2 linked regions of the Drosophila melanogaster genome follow. The protein of the gene in region 1 purifies or fractionates together with the protein of each later gene. This does not show direct contact. Each region holds a gene or a part of one and is shown in the gene's direction. Other genes may lie near its edges.

Region 1 (8,470 bases):
AGGGGTTAAACAGTTTGGCAATTGATCGACTCACGTTGTCATTAGACATTGAGCGATAGTATTGCCCTCGAGTGTGCTTGTGGCACTTTGATTGTAATTAATGGGCTGCAATATTTATCCAATGCGAGCGATCAGGGAAGACACTTGGTCTGCAATCTCCATGATCCCAAGATAATAATAATAATGGCCTGTCACTCAGAAAGCAACTGCAGCAGCCGAGATGTTCGCCTCTTCATTTTCAGCCAGCAGCAGACCAACAATCGTCTTTGTTGGTGGCATTGGACAATGGAGGACAATTTCTCGGCCACTTGTCAAAATAATTTGCGCCTGTCTTTGGGCCTCAAGATGCGGATACCTGCCGTGCAATTGTTGACTTAGTTGCACTCCCGAGTACGTGAAATGTGTGAGAAATTCTTGGACAAACTCGAGGAAACCAGCATCTACGGATCCGGAAAATAGAAGCCCGAGAAGGGTTAGACTAATATTGGCCGAACATGCGATTAATGCGATTATATGGCTGTATACCCGTTTTCCATTTGCCCCAAAACTGCTGCGACAAGTGATGGCGCAGTAAATTCCCAAAAAATTATCACCTGTGCACCCAAAGGGAAGCAATAGTTCAATAACCCAACAAAGAGCCACCAGAAGAATGACGAGAAATTGTGGCAGCAGCAGCGCACAAAGAGCTGGGAATATCCCGATCCTATAGACGAAGGACTATGCACCATGGGCGAAGGACAAACCAAAACGAATGCCCAAATCGATTGCTGCTCCTGTTGCAAGAAGAGGCGGGGGCCACTGCCACAGCCGCATCCACATGCAACAGGATGCTCGCACACGCACAAATGCGGGATGAAATCCCCGAATGCCTGAAAATCCCTGGGAAAAGTTAACTTTTTGATTCGATCGAGAGAATAATAAGGGGCGCAGACGTAGAATCACACGATAAAGTCACACGGACGGAGTAAAAAGGAAAATCGGTGAAAAAGGGAACATGTTGCAAGTCAGGATCGCAGTTGCAATCGCAGCTGATCGTGTGTTCAGCAGGTTGCATCAATTGGGGGAAAGGACCTGAGGGCTAATGATAGTGTCGAACAAAGGACTAAATTGGCTCTGCAATTCCATGGGAATCCCTTTCTTTGCCATCTTATATACGTAATTCTTTATGCGCAGAGCTGGTTCATATCTTTACTAGATCGTTAGATCAGACAAGCCTCTATGAAGTGCTAACTTTTCAAAAAGCTTTGCTTCGCAAAATTCTAATGTCAGTAAAGCTGACTAGATACTTTGCATAGAAAAGCTTACATATATACATAAGAGAAGCAAATTCATCGGAATTTGTTTATTGCCAAAATTTTAGTAACAGAAAGAAATCTCTTCTGCTCTATTATTGTGCAAAGCTTAATGAATAAACAATTTATAAAAGCTTTCTCTTGCAGAATGTTATAATACTAATCGCACTAGACTTTCGTAAACTATGTTAAATTTATTCAAGGTTATGGTAACAATGGTTTAGTGATCTTATCACGCACTTAATATTGAATAAAAACAGGAAATTATCAGTAATTCATATACCAGAAAAAGAAACATGTAAGCAGTTATATATTTTAAAAAGTTGGCAATAATGGATCGATTAGCTTTATACGAAATCGTATAACCACTCTTTAAATAAAGGTAAGTTTTAAGAAGTTATCGAAAAACTAAATGCTATATGTAATGTTTCCAGATCTTAAACGTCATTACCAAGACCACAACAAGTCTTATAGCTCCCGATCTTTCCAGAAAGCTCTTCTGCGTGGCTGGTGAATTCTCCCGGTTAGATTCTTTCGCCCAGTAAGCTCCGCGCATTCGTGTTCTATTCCCCAACTAAGAACCACGTGTCTGGCGATTCTTTAAATCACCTCAAAGCGACAAAACACGACGTCAAGACAGCTTTTGACTTTTTGCGCAAAAATGGCGATACGCGATGTGCCAAAAATAAGCAAAAGCCCGCTCACCTATACTTGCGACAAAGCAGCGCACACACACTTGGCGAAAAGCTTTCGTTTTGCTCTTTTTGTTGTGTGCAAAAATGCTCTCTGATTGGTCGGCTTGCGAATTTCGGGGGAATTCGCGAGTCGCAAAAGCGAATCGAAAGCTTGCACAATTTGCCGAGCGGCAACCGAAGACCCTCGGCTCCACTTCGGTCACCATCGGTTCCAAAGAGCGAGGGAGCGAGAGCATCTGACTGTTTACGCGAAATTGTTATTGTTTGCAACTAGTTTTTGCGTTGTTTTTTTACGCTTTTTGTTGTTTTTTGCCGGCATTTTGCTCTTGAATTTTTGTTTTCGCTGCGAAATTCAAGTTCAAGTTTAGGGACGGCGGGAATGTTGTTATTGTTACTCAATTCTGGCGTGCTTTCGCACCAAAGTGTGTGTGTAAACGTATCTATGTGAGTGGGATTTGGGTTTGGGCTGTGGTTCTGTTGACGCAACTTGTTGCTTTCACGTCTGGGGTAAAATATTTAAAGGGCTTCCTTTACCTTTAAATCCATCAGATACTTCCACCACTTATCTATCTGAGAGATAGAAATAGATAGATAGATAGCTCATTTTTAAGATTCTGACTTCATAATATCTTTTTTTTTGCATTTACTAAATGGTTCTACACTTTAAATAGAACAACAATTCTGCGCTCATTGGTTAGCAAGGCTTTTCACTGTAATTGTCATTGAGCGATCCGTCCTTCCGCATTTTCACGTAGCCGCTTTTTGACCCTGGCCCACCGAATTTGTTTTCGTGGTAAACAACAAACTCAACTCGAGAACCAAAACCATACACGCACGCACACACACACACATACCAATATAGATTACAAAAATTTGCGCCGCATTTTGCTGTAAACAAAAATTGTGTAATAATCAAGAGTGACCCTGAAAAGCGCTTCACAGATAAACAAGCGGCCAACTGGCGGGTTATTTTTTTATTTGTCGATTGTTGTTTTCGACTCATGACTGTGTTGATATATTTGCAAAATTCTTACGTGGGCCCAAGGGCCGATGATAATTCTATGCTCGACGAAAGAGCTTTCCCCCCTCCAGAGGCCCAAATTTATATTTATTTTTTTTTCGCTAGTTTGGGAACTTTGCTTTTTTGCTCAATTTGTGAGTCAGTGGCATTATGTACTAGTATATTATGTACAGTCGAAGCTTTTTTTCTACACACACGCCATTTTTGCGGAGCTCTCTCTCTGCAGTCGAGAATCGGCGAAAGAATTAAAAAACAGATTCAGTCGGCTATACAGTCCCCACTCAGAAACAGAGAAACCGAGAAGCCCAGTTCCACTCGCAGTCCCTTTGGTAAACGCCTGAACTCAAGGTCAGTGCTCGTACCGCCGCAGAAGTTTGGCGGTCTGTCCAGAACTTACAGCAGAGCGACACATGTAAATCGCCGCTGCCAACCCTGCCCCGCCCTTCGAGATACACGAACTAACAGATACACAGATACACGGTTATATGTGCCCATCCGAATGCTTGTGAATACTGAAACACTTCCGAGAATCAGTTGTATTGCCCTTTTTTCATACTATTTTTTTCGTTGTTTAGTAACTTTGCGTCATTTTGCCATTCGAAGGCAAAGAGTTCACTTCGATCCAAGCCAAAAAAAAAACCAAAGAAAACTGCAGTGAAATATAGTGAAAATCGAAGCAAACACACAATAATGCCGGTTAAAATGTTGGCTGACTTAGGACCAGTGAAAACGTGGCCAGACTATGTGCGAAAATGTGAATCGAATTATGGTTAGAATCGGCGTTCTGATCAGCCAGCAGATACATTTGTAAAACGTGTTCTACGCACTCAACAAACCCCGAAAAACGTCGCTGGATCTTGCAGATACTATATGTACATGGAGTGAATAAAACAACAGCGGAAAAACAAGGTAAGTACAACACAGACGTATTCTATGGAGGGCGGTTTCGCCCCCACCTTCCCTTGCCATGTGACCATGGCCGTATAAATTCGAACAAAAATTCACAACGCTCGACTTGAAATTTCCCTCAAATTGCTAAAAATAAAATAACGCATTTGTGCGTGCGTTTGTGTGCGAGCGTGTTTTTGGTGAAAACATCGTGGAAAATGCACCCCATGCGCCGCTCGAAAAATGCTAGCCTGTACTTAACGGGGGCGTGGTCGTCGGCTTTCCATTTCCCGAATTTCCACATGTTCATTGAGCGGCAAACTGCAACTGCAACCGCCACACTCGAGTGGCGCTGGCGGCACAAATGGCATGGCTCGCTATTTATAGCCAACGCATTCGTATCTGCGCGCTTCATGGAGAGCATATGTACTTTTGTATCTATATCTATGCATATGCATATCTACGGCCGGATCTGCAACGACTTTGTCATATCTACATATACATATAAATAAATATGTACATATGTACGTGAAGGGACTGTCGCCCGGGAAACGCGATTTGAGTTACATACAAACGATCATTGCAAACATCAGTTTTATATCTGACGCCATACGCCCCATAGAAATAAAGTCTTTAGCACACAGAAAAAATTTAATTTACGCACTGTTTTTATGTGTCAACAACTCAATTTTGACTTTTCTCACAAGCAAAACTAAAGAAAACATATATTCTTAGAGAATTATGGGGTATTTAATATATATAATATATATGTAATTCGTAAATTACACTAAAAGGTTTGTCAATAAACTTTTCTCTCACTGTAAAGATTATATCTTTGTATCTGCGCCAGCGAAAACGATCACAAAATGGCCGACCCATGCAAAGTTGCAGTTGCACTGGTAGCCCCCCATCGCCACTTCCCCCACACACTTTGCACACATGCACAGATGTATCTGTATCTTGTTTGCCTTCTCCCGCTCTTCACCCAGCTCCCCCTGTGCCGCTCTTCCCCTCTTTTCCTGTTTCGCCTTCTTTCTGTTTGCTTTCGCCTAATTTTTCGTGCCTTTTTTACACAATTCTCGTTTAAATGTTGCCTTTTGCTTTGCTATCTGTCGGCCCTGTAAATGTATCTGTATCTGTGTGTTGTATGCTATGCTCTCGTATCTGTGAGTGCGTTGCAAAAGTGCAATGACCCATTCGTAGTCCGCCCCCCACCCTCCCCCCGACCATAACCCCGCCAGCGGACCCACCAACACCACCATCGCTCTACGAAGTCGCGGTCTACGTGCCACTTTCCTTAGTTGCAGCGAATGACGCGCGCGATAAATTTCCAGCGTTTTCGTTTCTCCGCTGCTTCGTATTTGTCTAATTTTCCCTCTCTCCGTTGAATTTTTTCGTGGTCTTCTTGTTGCATTTTTTTTTATTAATTTCCCCGGGCTGCAGTTTTTGTTTGTTTTTCGACTGTTGCTCTACCCACACACAGGAAAGTACACTCGAAAAAATGTAAATTTTGAAATAACTCTTTTTCTGGAAGCTGAAACATAAACTTACGATTAAAAATACAACTTTCCGAAGATATATTTTAAAAACCCTACTTTTCTCTGAGTGTAGTGTGTATCTTCTAGATAGTATTCGTATTTTTGCCCTTCCGCCGCGTGAGTTTTGTGTAAACACTGGGTGGAAAGGGGAGAGATATCTCAAAATTTTCGCCTCCATTAGCACACGAGTGCGAGCGGCGATCTTTATGGCAGGTCCTGCCGATCCTGTCGCTGAACCAAACTCTGCAGGCTGCCCATTGTCCATCGTAGGCGGCGGCTCCTGTTTTTTTCTTTGAGCCACGCTAATTGCCATTTGTGTTGGAGAGAATTTTCACGTGCCGCTGCTACTTCAAAGATGCTCTAAGAGGCGACACTTCAGCAACTGAAAAAGTCTCAAGAATCTAAGCATCTCGTTCGAAAGATGCCCAGGTAAAAGCAAAAGATACGAGGGCTAAAGGTAAAGGGTTGGCCTGGGAAAAGCCGGAAAAACGCAACCTCGATGCGTTTGTGCGTGTGTGTTCTTTTTTTCGCATTCATTTTTTACTTTGCATGACAAATGCTGCTATCAAGTCCAGACATTGATTGAAACCCAAAGCAAGGCTTTTCCTGGAAAATCCGCTTCTTCCTTTTTTCGCATGCAAATATTTTTCACGATAGTCGCTCAATGGTAATGACCAAGAAGCAAAGGGTTAGGCATCGTAAAACGCTGGTCCACATTTCCTTCGAACTATTTTGGCACATTTTTGCGAAAAGCCATAAACCCATAAATCTCAGACGAAACCCTTTCGCTAACGCCATAAAAATCTTCGAGCAGGTCAAAGGTTTCGAATCCACTGGTTTTTATTGCCATATGCTGACCAGCCAAACAAAGAGCTGATAATACTAATCGCGAAAATGCGTAGATGGAAAAACATTTGTCGTGCAGTTTGCAAACACAAATACGAAATGCAAATTCAGATTCAAATTCATATTTATGCTGAGAGTGCAAACTCAGAGGTGATAAGAAGCACTTTAGAACAATGCCATTTTGAGCAGATGACTGCAAATTAGTGCTGCTCGATGAACAAAGAATTACTTGATTGTTAAATCATGTCAGGGCCTTTCTTTTTTGCTAGGATCCACACATGTCCAACGAGCAGGTAGTCAACAGGATACAAGGATACTAGCAGTTCATTAAGAGTCCTTCGCTTCATTGAGCGAATGTCTTGCGGTTGGATTATGTGCGGATTTCTCCCTGCTAATCCCCCATAATAAGCGGTATTGGCTTTGAGCTGGGAAAACGTCTTTATCTCCGGTATTAGCCACATTCTCAGCAGTTAGTCAAAAAGTCAGCAAAGTCAACACTGACCAGAGGATAATCCATTTAAGGAAATTCTCTGTGATCGACACATGTTGAGTTTCGTGGAGTTTCCTCGAACTAACTAAGCATCTTTATAGGTTTTTAATTTATTAATTAAGCTAACAAATAAATAAATCATCAAAATGTAACTTAAGGTCATTAAAATCAAAAACAACTCTTTTACGTAATAATTTAAGAACCTGCAAAACTAAACGATTTCAAAGTGTAGGTTTATTATATTGTTGATTTTTGCCATTTAGTATAGCTACTATTTTATTTTCTTTATTTTTCACTTATATTTTTCTTATAAAGATGCAATATTTCGTTAGTCCGGCATATTACAGCCTCTTGGAATTCATATTTTACACTTTCACTGGGACATTGACAGGCGCTGGGGGTAATGATGATAAGATTACAAGTGTGGAAAGGGGTCGGGGCTCATATATGGAAGCATTGTAGTTAAAAAGAGTAAAGCCCCGGGGCTCTTGTCCATAAATGCTCGAGTCCAGATTATGGAGTCCGAGTTGCGGCAACTTTTCCGCTTTTTTATGCCCGTACTTACACACACATTTCTTGCACTATCAGCTTTGAGCCGAATTCCGCGGGGGCGGGGGGAGGTGAATGCACTTGCGAACTAGTTTTTCGGACTCTCGGGTGAAGATAGTGTTGGCCGATCTCGCGGAGCTGCCAAAAAAAAAAAAACAAAAAAAAAAACAAAGAATGCATTCGAAAACACGGGTGGACGGAAAATGGCCCCGTGAAATGCGGTTGACCTTAATTTCCAAACATGATTAATGGGTTTGGCAACCCAAAGTGAAGGTGGGCGGGACGAGGAGGCGCTTGATACACAGAGGAAACGACGATGAAAAACCTAATGATCAACAATTAAAAAATGTAAGTTGAGCTGTGGCCAGAAATGTGTGGGGTACAGCTGGTACAGATGACTATTGCAAATAGGGAAATGTTCTTTTTGTGAACTTGATTTTTATGAAAAATTAAAAAAAAAAACTTAATTTTGTAATTAATTTTTTTACAATGCAGTATTTTGTATTCGATTCTCATTTGAACTCACTGTTATCGCAAGTTTTATAATGTTAAAAAGGGCTGCAGAGCTTTTGTTCTTTAGAAAGTCCATTACCTAAGGTCTCCTTGAAAACCTCAACCCCAAAGAATGCTATTTTAGAAAAATAAAAAACGAGATACCCTAAGACATTTTACAGGTGCCTCGCATAATTTGCATGATAATAACGAAATCCCAAATTGGCAGTATGTTATATGTTACCCTTTCAAAACGCATCCCCTAGCGACCGTTAATTTGCAATTTGCATAAAAAATCAAGAAATCGAAGGGTTATCGTCCGAGGGGTCGAAGGTCGAGACATATGCAAATTAATCGCGTTGCAGGCCAAAACTGCATTCAATTGTGCATTGATTGCCGAAGGTCGTTACTTTATCTCTACACTTAAATTCAAATTTGCATAACTAAGAAGTTGTGGCAGAAAAAAACGTTGAAAGAGAGTAAAGCGAGAAAAATTGAAAATATACGAAAAGACAAGGCGACAAAGTATCAAAACAGGCAGTTCAAAATGGCGACGAATGCCGCGGAGAAGCGAAACGAGGAGAAAGGGTGTCGAATAAAATAGTAAAGATCGAACAACGAAAGATCCGAGACCAGTTTTTCACGCAACCTGCCTAAAT
Region 2 (8,847 bases), on another chromosome or scaffold:
GCAAGAATCCTGACGTGGACACTTCCTTTCTGCCAGATCGCGAGCGCGAGGAGCAGGAGAACAGACTGCGCGAGCAGCTGCGTCAAGAATGGGTAATGCAGCAGGCGGAGCTGAAGGACGAGGACATCTCCATCACGTTCAGCTACTGGGATGGCTCCGGCCATCGGCGGAACGTGCTGATGAAGAAGGGCAACTCCATCTACCAGTTTCTGCAGAAGTGCCTGGAGCTGCTGCGCAAGGAGTTCATCGAACTGAAGACCGTAATGGCCGACCAGCTGATGTACGTCAAGGAGGATCTGATCCTGCCGCACCACTATTCCTTCTACGACTTTATCGTGACCAAGGCACGCGGCAAATCCGGCCCGCTCTTCCAGTTCGACGTCCACGACGATGTGCGCATGATAAGCGACGCCTCCGTGGAGAAGGAGGAGTCCCATGCCGGAAAGGTACTCCTCCGCTCCTGGTACGAGCGCAACAAGCACATCTTCCCAGCCAGCCGATGGGAGCCCTACGATCCCACCAAGTCCTACGACAAGTACACCATCAAGGACAAGGATAAGAGTAAAAAGTAGTGCTTAGGGCAGTTTCTGCCCGAATAATTGTACAATATAATAATGATTGATTTAATACATCAAAACAAACGAAAAATAACTACAATTTTTATTTGATTTTTCCACCAGATTTACAATCAGTTTAATTAAACTATTATAATAGGCATTGAATGAAATATAAAATATATAACAAATTTATGTTTGCTTAATACAATTTTGAATTCATTAGAAAATGTCATACTTCTCATAAGAATACCCCTAATTATTTAAAATGGCACTGTTAAGAGAACTTGTTGCTAAACAAATTTGGTAGAAATTTTAGTTTATAAACACAGTATAATCAGAGAACATGCAGTTATTCAGCACTTCGTATTGATTGCCATGAAAAAAGAACTGTTAGATTTATATTTTATTTTAATTTTTTAATATTCCAACTGTCATAATAGTCAAAAGAAGTCGGATATGGCGGGAAAAAAGCTAGCCCGCCAGCACCAATAGCAACATTGAATTTTTTGCGCCAGTAAAATTCGCGTCTTTTTATAAAAAGCAAGCGTAATTAATAACAAAAATAAAATAAGTTCCAAGTAAAATGTGAATTCATTTTTCGGATACGTATCGATTTAGTGCCATTTGAGAACCCCGAACCAACGAAATGTACCCGGCGCAACCGGCAAAGGTGGCGTTGGCCGGTCAACCGATATCCGCCGGAAAACCACCACGCCACAGCCCTGTTCAGATGAAGTCTATCCCTTTGCCCGTCTTCGAGCTGCCGGAATACGTGTGCGTGGAGACCAAGTGGGTGACACGCAAGTACGCGATAGAGAATGGCATTCCAGTGAAAGAACTGCATGCCCCGATCACCAATGGAGGCGCTACAGAGTCTCCCAAGAAATCCGTACAGCAGAAGAGACTCAACGAGGTCACTGGAATGTTTGCGAACGAGGCTATGGTGCCGCGCAGAGAGCGCGCCATTCAAACAGAGAATGCGGGCACTAAGGATGCGGGCATTCAATGCCGTCGCGATTCGGAGGAGTGGTATTTACCAGAGGAACGGCCAAAGGATACCGGTTCTGAGGCCTCCAATTCCGACAAATTTCTCACCTACGTGAGCGAGAACACATTCATATTTCCCAACGGCATGATGGAGTGCGCGGTGTGCGGCGATGTGGCCAAAACCTTGCTGGAGCACCAGAGCCACATGACCGCGCACTATGGACCTGGTGCTCTGTGCTTTCGCTGTGGTCAGCGTCTGGACCACCAGAAACAATTGAAGCAACACAGTCTGAGCTGTCCCGCTCTAGCGCCCAGGAAGTCATCGATGCTCTTTAAATGCCCACATCTACTCTGCAACGCCATGAGCCACTCAGAGATGCAGTTGCTCAGGCACCTGAGAAACCATAGCGGCAGGAAGTGCTACAGATGTCTTCAGTGCAAACGTTACTTCAAGACCACCACCTCTCTTTTGGTACACCGAAAAAAAGAACAGAGTTGTGCCAAGGCGAAAGTGGTCGTCCTATTTCGCGAACACAACGGGTTGCCCAATGGAAGAGGTGATCCCAGACGTTGCTCAGTTTGCTTGAAGCGTTTCAGCAGCGAGCGGGTATGCCTGCGGCACCGGAGACAGTGCATCCTTGGCCATTTTAGACGGCTGTCCAGGGTCCTCAAGAAGGAGCTATGAACAGCGTATAGAAATCTTGACCTAGCTGGTATTTATTAGTACATAGAAATCGATAACAATAAAGCGAATAGATCCTACGAAGCCTGGACGCCGTGAGCCTTTTTCAGTCCCTGGAACAGCATCAGTTTCTCCCGGTTAACTTCCTTAAGCGTCTGCACCGCCAGCTCCAGTTGCACCTTCTTCAGCGCATGTTCGCTGGCGATGTACTGCTCAATGAACTTCAGGCTGATCTCATCGGCGGCGAAATCGTGCTCCGTCTTGCCAATGGCCGTATGGATCTCCTGCTCAATGTTCTGCTTATTGTCATGTCGTCGGAAGACGCTTCTTAGCTCCGCCAGGGCACTTTCCGCCGGCGTGGCATGCAGTTTGCCCAGTTCGGTCAGCGTTGCCTGATACTCCACTGGGATGTTGTGTAGCTTGTAGCTCAGAGCAATCAGCTCCACGGCATTGTGCAGATAATCCCGACGGATCATGTCATACAGCAGGTCGTCGATGCAGCGGTGCCAAGCGTAGAAGAAGGCCATGGGTCCAAAGTGGCGGGTGGAGCGCAGAAGATCGAACTCCTTGGACTCGTTGAGATGCTCGAACACACGCGCTGAAATGTTGTGGAACTCCGGCTCATGTGGCTCGTACTGCACCAAGAGTCGATCCAGGATGAACTCGTACTTGTGCTCCGCCAAGCACTTGGCCAGCAGCTCCTCCAGCGCGAACATTCGTGGAGTATATGACTGGCGACCCTCCAGCGGGAAATACAACTGGTTCATGCGCTTCGTGGTATCAAGAGTGGCGTAGGCCAAGGTTCCGTCCATATCCCGGACGATTACCTTGCGTTCCGACTGCCGTCGGCCGAAGGTGATGTCCGTGAATACGAACTTGGAGTTGGCGAAGTCCTTCAGCGCCGTATCCTTGGCTATCACCCGCTCCACATCTTTTTTGATCTGCACAATGGGTGGCATTTGCAGAATTTGCTGAGCCCGCACCACCAAGTTCTGGAACTCGTTGTCCAGCTGCTCGTTGCTCATGAACTTCGTTTCGCTGCTGTTGTCCGGCACCGTGCGCTTCCGATACACCTTGTCCAAGTTCAGTTGCGTCATGGACTGGAGCAGCCGCTGGGTTTCGGCATCCGTGAAAAGCGGCTGCGGATCGCGCTCGTACTGCAGGGCGGCGGGCTTGGTGGGCGCCGAGGACACCTGCCGGATAGCTTGGCGCACTCCTTGGAGGCCATTCAGCTGGCGCAGGCTCCGCAGCAGGTGCATTTTCAGTCAGTAAATCAGGCACAAAAATACACGAGACGGGTGTAGAAATTAGTGAGGGCAGCACGGTGTTTTCCAACACTGCTTGCTAGTAATGACAACAGGAATCTTATTTAATTTAATGTGTTTATTCTATTTGTATAATAACTTTTTTAATGCACATGCACATGCGTAATGCGCCTTATTTTTAAATTTCATTCATAATATGCAATATTTGTTTGAAATAGGAAAATAGCAAAATAGGCAACTTTATTATCTACATAAGAATTAAACGATTATTAACTACTTGTTATTGTTCCCATTTTACCAGACGACTCAATTGTATAACTATGAGCAGCTAGTGCCACCGCCTTTAGTATCAAATCGTAATAATCAAGAAAAAAAATAATATAATAATAAAAACGACATTAAAAATTACCGGGAAATTCGGAAGCCAGTTTCATCTCTTCGACATAGGAATACCCCTACTAGCGGCTTATCTCGGGATCTGACTGCGGTCACACTTGACCAATTGCATTTAGCTGGAAAAAAAGCTGCTGGCGAAAATTGGCAATAAAGTGCAGGAGCAGCCCAAGCATGGAACAGGCCGAATTGGGCAGTACGTGCCTTGCAGCGCCTAAGCGCCGCTTCCCGGACAACGAACGTTGTGGGCGGGAGCTGGCCGCCGTGCCCGTGCAGCCAGTGCTGCCACAAATCCCTACCGAGGAGGAGCCGGAGATAAAACAGCGCAAAAGGGAGAAGGAGCATAAGGAATCCCTCGACCGGGAAACGGAGTGCAACCTCATGGACTTCTGTGATGAGCTGCTCTTCGAGATCTTCCAGTACCTGGACACGTCCTCCATTCTGGCGGTGATGCAGTAAGTAGTCCGCTATCAACAAAGATCTCTGCGTCGCTGAGATTTCCATGTCCTTTCCATATTATAACATTCCGTAATATTCCAGTTGCTCGCCGCGCTTTGAAAACCTCCTGCTGGATCACCGCTTCTATCATCACATAGACTTAAGCAACGGGCCCCTGCCTATGGGCATCCTAGAAGAGATTCTTGGACGAGCCACCGAAAAGACACACACCATTAAAATCTGCGGACCTCCGTCCTCGCAGCATGTTGCAGGCGAATTCCGCCAGTTCACCCAAACGCTAAGCTCCGTTTTCCCCAGGGTTGTACAGCTTAAAGTGCTGGAGCTGGAGGGCGTCAGCCTGGACTTCGAATACGTGAGTGCTGGCATCTCGCAAGTTTCCCTGGTCTACCCCAATTTTATCTTTTCTTCAGATACACATAACTGAGTTCCCGGCCACTCTGAGGCGTCTGAAGCTAAAGGACTGTAGCGTTAGGGTCGGCGACACGCCAAAAAGCATATTTTACTCCATAGAGCTGCATCTGCTTGATCTAGAGGTGAGTTTGAGCGAACGACAGTCCAATGAATAGCCTAACCCCGTCTTATTTAGGATCTCAGTATTGAGGACAACAGCTGGTTCGAGCCCTATTATATTATGGGCCTGTCGAAGTTACCTTCCTTGCGGCGTCTTAGTCTTAAGGGCTGTCAGGCGCTATGCAAGTTTGTGCCCTATGGCAGCATGGCGGCACGTTTCGGTTTCCAAAAACTAGAGGTTGGCATAGGTGCAATCGGCGAATATTCTTTATAAAGGGTTATTTATTTCAGTCACTAGATCTTCGCCAGACGCCCATCAACAACTCAGATCTGCAGTGTTTTAGCGCTATCGAGAATCTCAAGGAACTGCTGCTTGAGTCGCCACAGATCCTGCACTCCAAACAAGCCGTTGCTAAAAAAAATACCAACGGCAACGCCACTGACGAAGCTGCTTCCCCGCAGCCTGATTCACTGAAAGTGCTTAGCGATGACGAGCCGTCCACATCGCGGGCCGCCATGGAGCATCTGCGTGCATGCAAGGTTGCGTTCAATTTGGACAACTGCAGCGATAGAAAGGAGGAGAAGTCGCCGGTGCCAACTGAGCCTCCTTCGGAGGGTCAGGATCTTCAGGCGAAACGAATACGAGCACCATCAGAATCCGATGATGAGGACACATCATCCACCTCAGGGTCTTCGTCGGACAAATTGGAGGTTTTATCGTTGCCCAGAAATGGTCATAGCAACGCTGCACCTTTGAGCGGAGGCGTCGACTTGCCGCCACTTCCGCATGCAGCCGATGCAGCCAATGCAGCCGATGCACCAATTGCAGTTGATGCAGCCAATATCGAGGCTCCCGGGCAGAGTCCCGGCTTGGATCCTAGACCCCCGCGCGCTTACATCTACGTGCCCGACGCTGAGAACGCTAACCCGCGCCAACAGCGTAGTGTTGTGGCCGTATTTGCGCAGGGAACGGAGCAACGGTATATCTATGTCAATCAACAATTCTCACTCCCGATGAATGTTCTGATGCCGACGCGACGCCATCGTACGCATCCGCGTCCGAACTACGATCAGGTTGTTCAGCATCCGATGTTTTGGAACATGCTCGAGCCACTGGATCGCGACTATGCTCGACGAGTGCGCCCACGTCCGCCTTCCTGTCAGACAACACCTCAATACTATGTCACCGATCGGGCGATGTATAGCTTTGGCCGAGCTGATCGACCGGTGCAACCGGACGTTGTCTGGATCCGGAACATCAATCGCTCGCCAGACAATAAACTGGAGCGACTGTCGTTGCGAAACTACCATCTCATCACAAATCATACCCTGGAGCACCTGGTGCAGTGCTCTCCGAATCTGGTGTATATCGATGTTAGTGGCACCAGCATTACGCTTCCGGCAATTCGGCGCTTCAAGATCTCCAAACCGAAATGCGAAGTGGTCGCCAATCACTTGGAGGAGTTTGAAAGACTTCCGGAGCTGGAGACACAGGAAGAGGATGACACGGTGGTGGTGATGCTGCAGCCACCGCCGCGCGCCGACGACGAGCAGCCACCGAAATCGCCACCGCCACAGGAGGTGGTGGCTCCTTAGAATATTGTTTGTAAAGATTCCGTCGAAGTGGGCCGTGCTGGATTATTTTATTTTTTTTTAAGAAAAAAGACGACATGGCCAAGCCGATGGATCCACAACGCTGGCTACAAGCGAGTGCTGTAGCTCAGCCATCTAGTATTACGTTTGACTATTCGAGTCCTTGTAATATATACACGCCAGGCTAAACGCACTGTATAAATCAAAACCACAATTCAATTCCTTTAGCTAGGCATTAAAAAGAGCGCGCGAGATCCTTTTGGTAAATATGTATAATGAAATGTTTATTTGGTTGGTATGTAGTGGGTAAGGACAGGCCAATAGTTCGGTGACTCGAGTTAAAAATGTATGTAAACTGTATATAAGCGGTGTAAAATGTTTACTTGTCGACGCCATCCTCCTCTTCGGCATCCGACTCGTCCTCGGTATCTTCCGACTCGGTCTCCGATCCGCTGGAGCTCTGACAATCGGCAATCTCGCCGGTGAAGAAGATCACCGCCTTGGGAATCACGCGCTCCTTTAGATAGAAGCCCACCTCAAAATCGTTTTGCAGCATAGCCTGTGGGAGGAGATGCATGTGAAAGGATCGCAGATCGCTGATATTCAATCTTACATTGACGTCACAGTAGTTGGGGTCAAGGGTATCTTCTGGCAAAAGCGGCGGCGAGAAGAACTCAAAGAACGACGGCTCTTGATTTTCTGGTCAATGAGTGAATTCAACTAACATCTGTGAAATTTGATGCTCCCAGATGGCTTACCGGTTTTGGTCTGGTCCTTGGTCTGCTTCCAGTCGATGACGCAGCCTTCGCACTTGTAGATCTCGGCGCCATCATATGCGAGCGGATCGTCTGGATCCGGCAGGCAGTTGAGGAAATATGTCTTGGTCAGCACCGTGTTGGTAAAGTAATCATTGGGATCGAAGTGGAATTCGATATCAAACTTCACCACGGGTTCGTTGTACAGCCGAGAACGGATGTCGCTTAAGCACTGCGCGGGAAAAATTTCAATTAAAATTTAAATATCCTTCAAATCGGATCTATCCATAACATACCTCTAATATTTTCTCATCCCTCTTGCTGATGAACTCGGTGTACGATGCTTTGAGAACCCTCAGCCAAAAGTTGGGCACGCTCTGATTGGTTTCCACGTCGCCGTGGTTTTGCTTTCTAAACTCACTGCACCGATGGGATTTTTGGGGGAATTGAGATCTTGTTTAACCAAACACCATTAATGGACTTACTCTAGAATCTTCTTGCGCTTATCAAATATGATATTGTGCTTATCCTCGTACTTCTTCTCGATATTGTAAATGTCGCGCTGCAGAGCCACATCCAGGTTAATGGTCTCCAAATAGAGCTGCTTCAGTTCGGTAAGAGTTTTCTTCTCCTTCTCGGTGAAGTTTAAATCCGATTCCATCTTCGGTGGAGCGGTGTACTTCATCCGCGGAGGGTTTCGATTTCGCACAGTTTCCATTTATGTTTCGACACGATAATCAAAAGAAAAATAAAAAAAATATTTCTTGAAGTGATTTGGTTTTGTTCAAGTATAAAATTTGGACGTGTGCGTTTTCGCTGTGACTGCCGTTGTGGGAATGAAAAGTAGCTCTATCAGTTTCCCAAAACTCCCAGCACAAAAGGCAAGGCCCGCTTTTCACTAAAGTGCTGGAACTAACTAGATGTACTAGAAAATATTAAGCAATTTATTATTCTTTTTTTTTAAGCTACATTTTTAAACCCTCGTGTTATTGCTGTTTTAGTCACCCCTTTCGCCTTACTTTGCCCATTGAGATGCAGGCCATGTTTATTGGCAATTTAACGCACATTTAATTCCTGCTCTTTTCCTGTTTATATATTTTTGGTTTCCCCAAAATTTTTTGTTTGCTTCCGCCAACTTTTCATTTGGCATGTAATTAAGTGTGGGCCAAAAGCTTGGACTGGGTGCCGCCAGCCTGGCCTAAGTGTATGCAAATCACGTGCTGAGTGCTGTGCCGCCAAGGGTTCAGGTTCAGCCATTGCCATCGCCATCGCCATCGCCATCGCCTCCTGGAGTCTGTTAAATGGACCGTGGACCCAGTTTCTGGTCTATCCGAGAGTCGCTTGTCTTTTGTCGCTGGTTTTAATAATGTGGGCCAGGCTTAGTGCCATATGTCCGGCTGTGAAAAACAACAGAAAAAAGTGAAAAAAAAGAGTGAAATTGTCGCTTAGGCAAACATTTCAAAATGAAATTATGAGTGGGCCAGTGGCGGCGGGCGAAAAAAAAGTGTAAACAAATTCAGCCAAGCGGAAGTCCAGACACACACACACACACACAACAACGCACACACACATCCGCCAAATGAAAGCCGCAGAGGATAAGCGGGAAAAGCGGGAGATCGCATTGTTGTGCGCTGTTGAATGTTTGC

Evidence for each region.
Region 2: the proteins of rib (region 1) and CG5003 purify together in Drosophila melanogaster (affinity purification with mass spectrometry, with the first as the bait; one large-scale study listed by BioGRID). This does not show direct contact.

The regions. Positions count from the first base shown.
Region 1 is NT_033778.4:19,266,870-19,275,339, forward strand, and holds the start of rib (ribbon), read left to right. Parts: upstream 1-3,208; 5' UTR 3,209-3,917; intron 3,918-8,470.
Region 2 is NT_033777.3:27,911,640-27,920,486, reverse strand, and holds CG5003 (uncharacterized protein), read left to right. Parts: upstream 1-3,970; 5' UTR 3,971-4,058; coding exon 4,059-4,339; intron 4,340-4,424; coding exon 4,425-4,695; intron 4,696-4,753; coding exon 4,754-4,876; intron 4,877-4,929; coding exon 4,930-5,091; intron 5,092-5,144; coding exon 5,145-6,449; 3' UTR 6,450-6,710; downstream 6,711-8,847. Other genes in the region: CG12259 (uncharacterized protein), read left to right, coding at 1-572; Boh1 (buddy of Hmr 1), read left to right, coding at 1,204-2,229; mRpS22 (mitochondrial ribosomal protein S22), read right to left, coding at 2,304-3,485; mil (milkah), read right to left, coding at 6,826-7,005, 7,060-7,145, 7,205-7,433, 7,498-7,621, 7,687-7,919.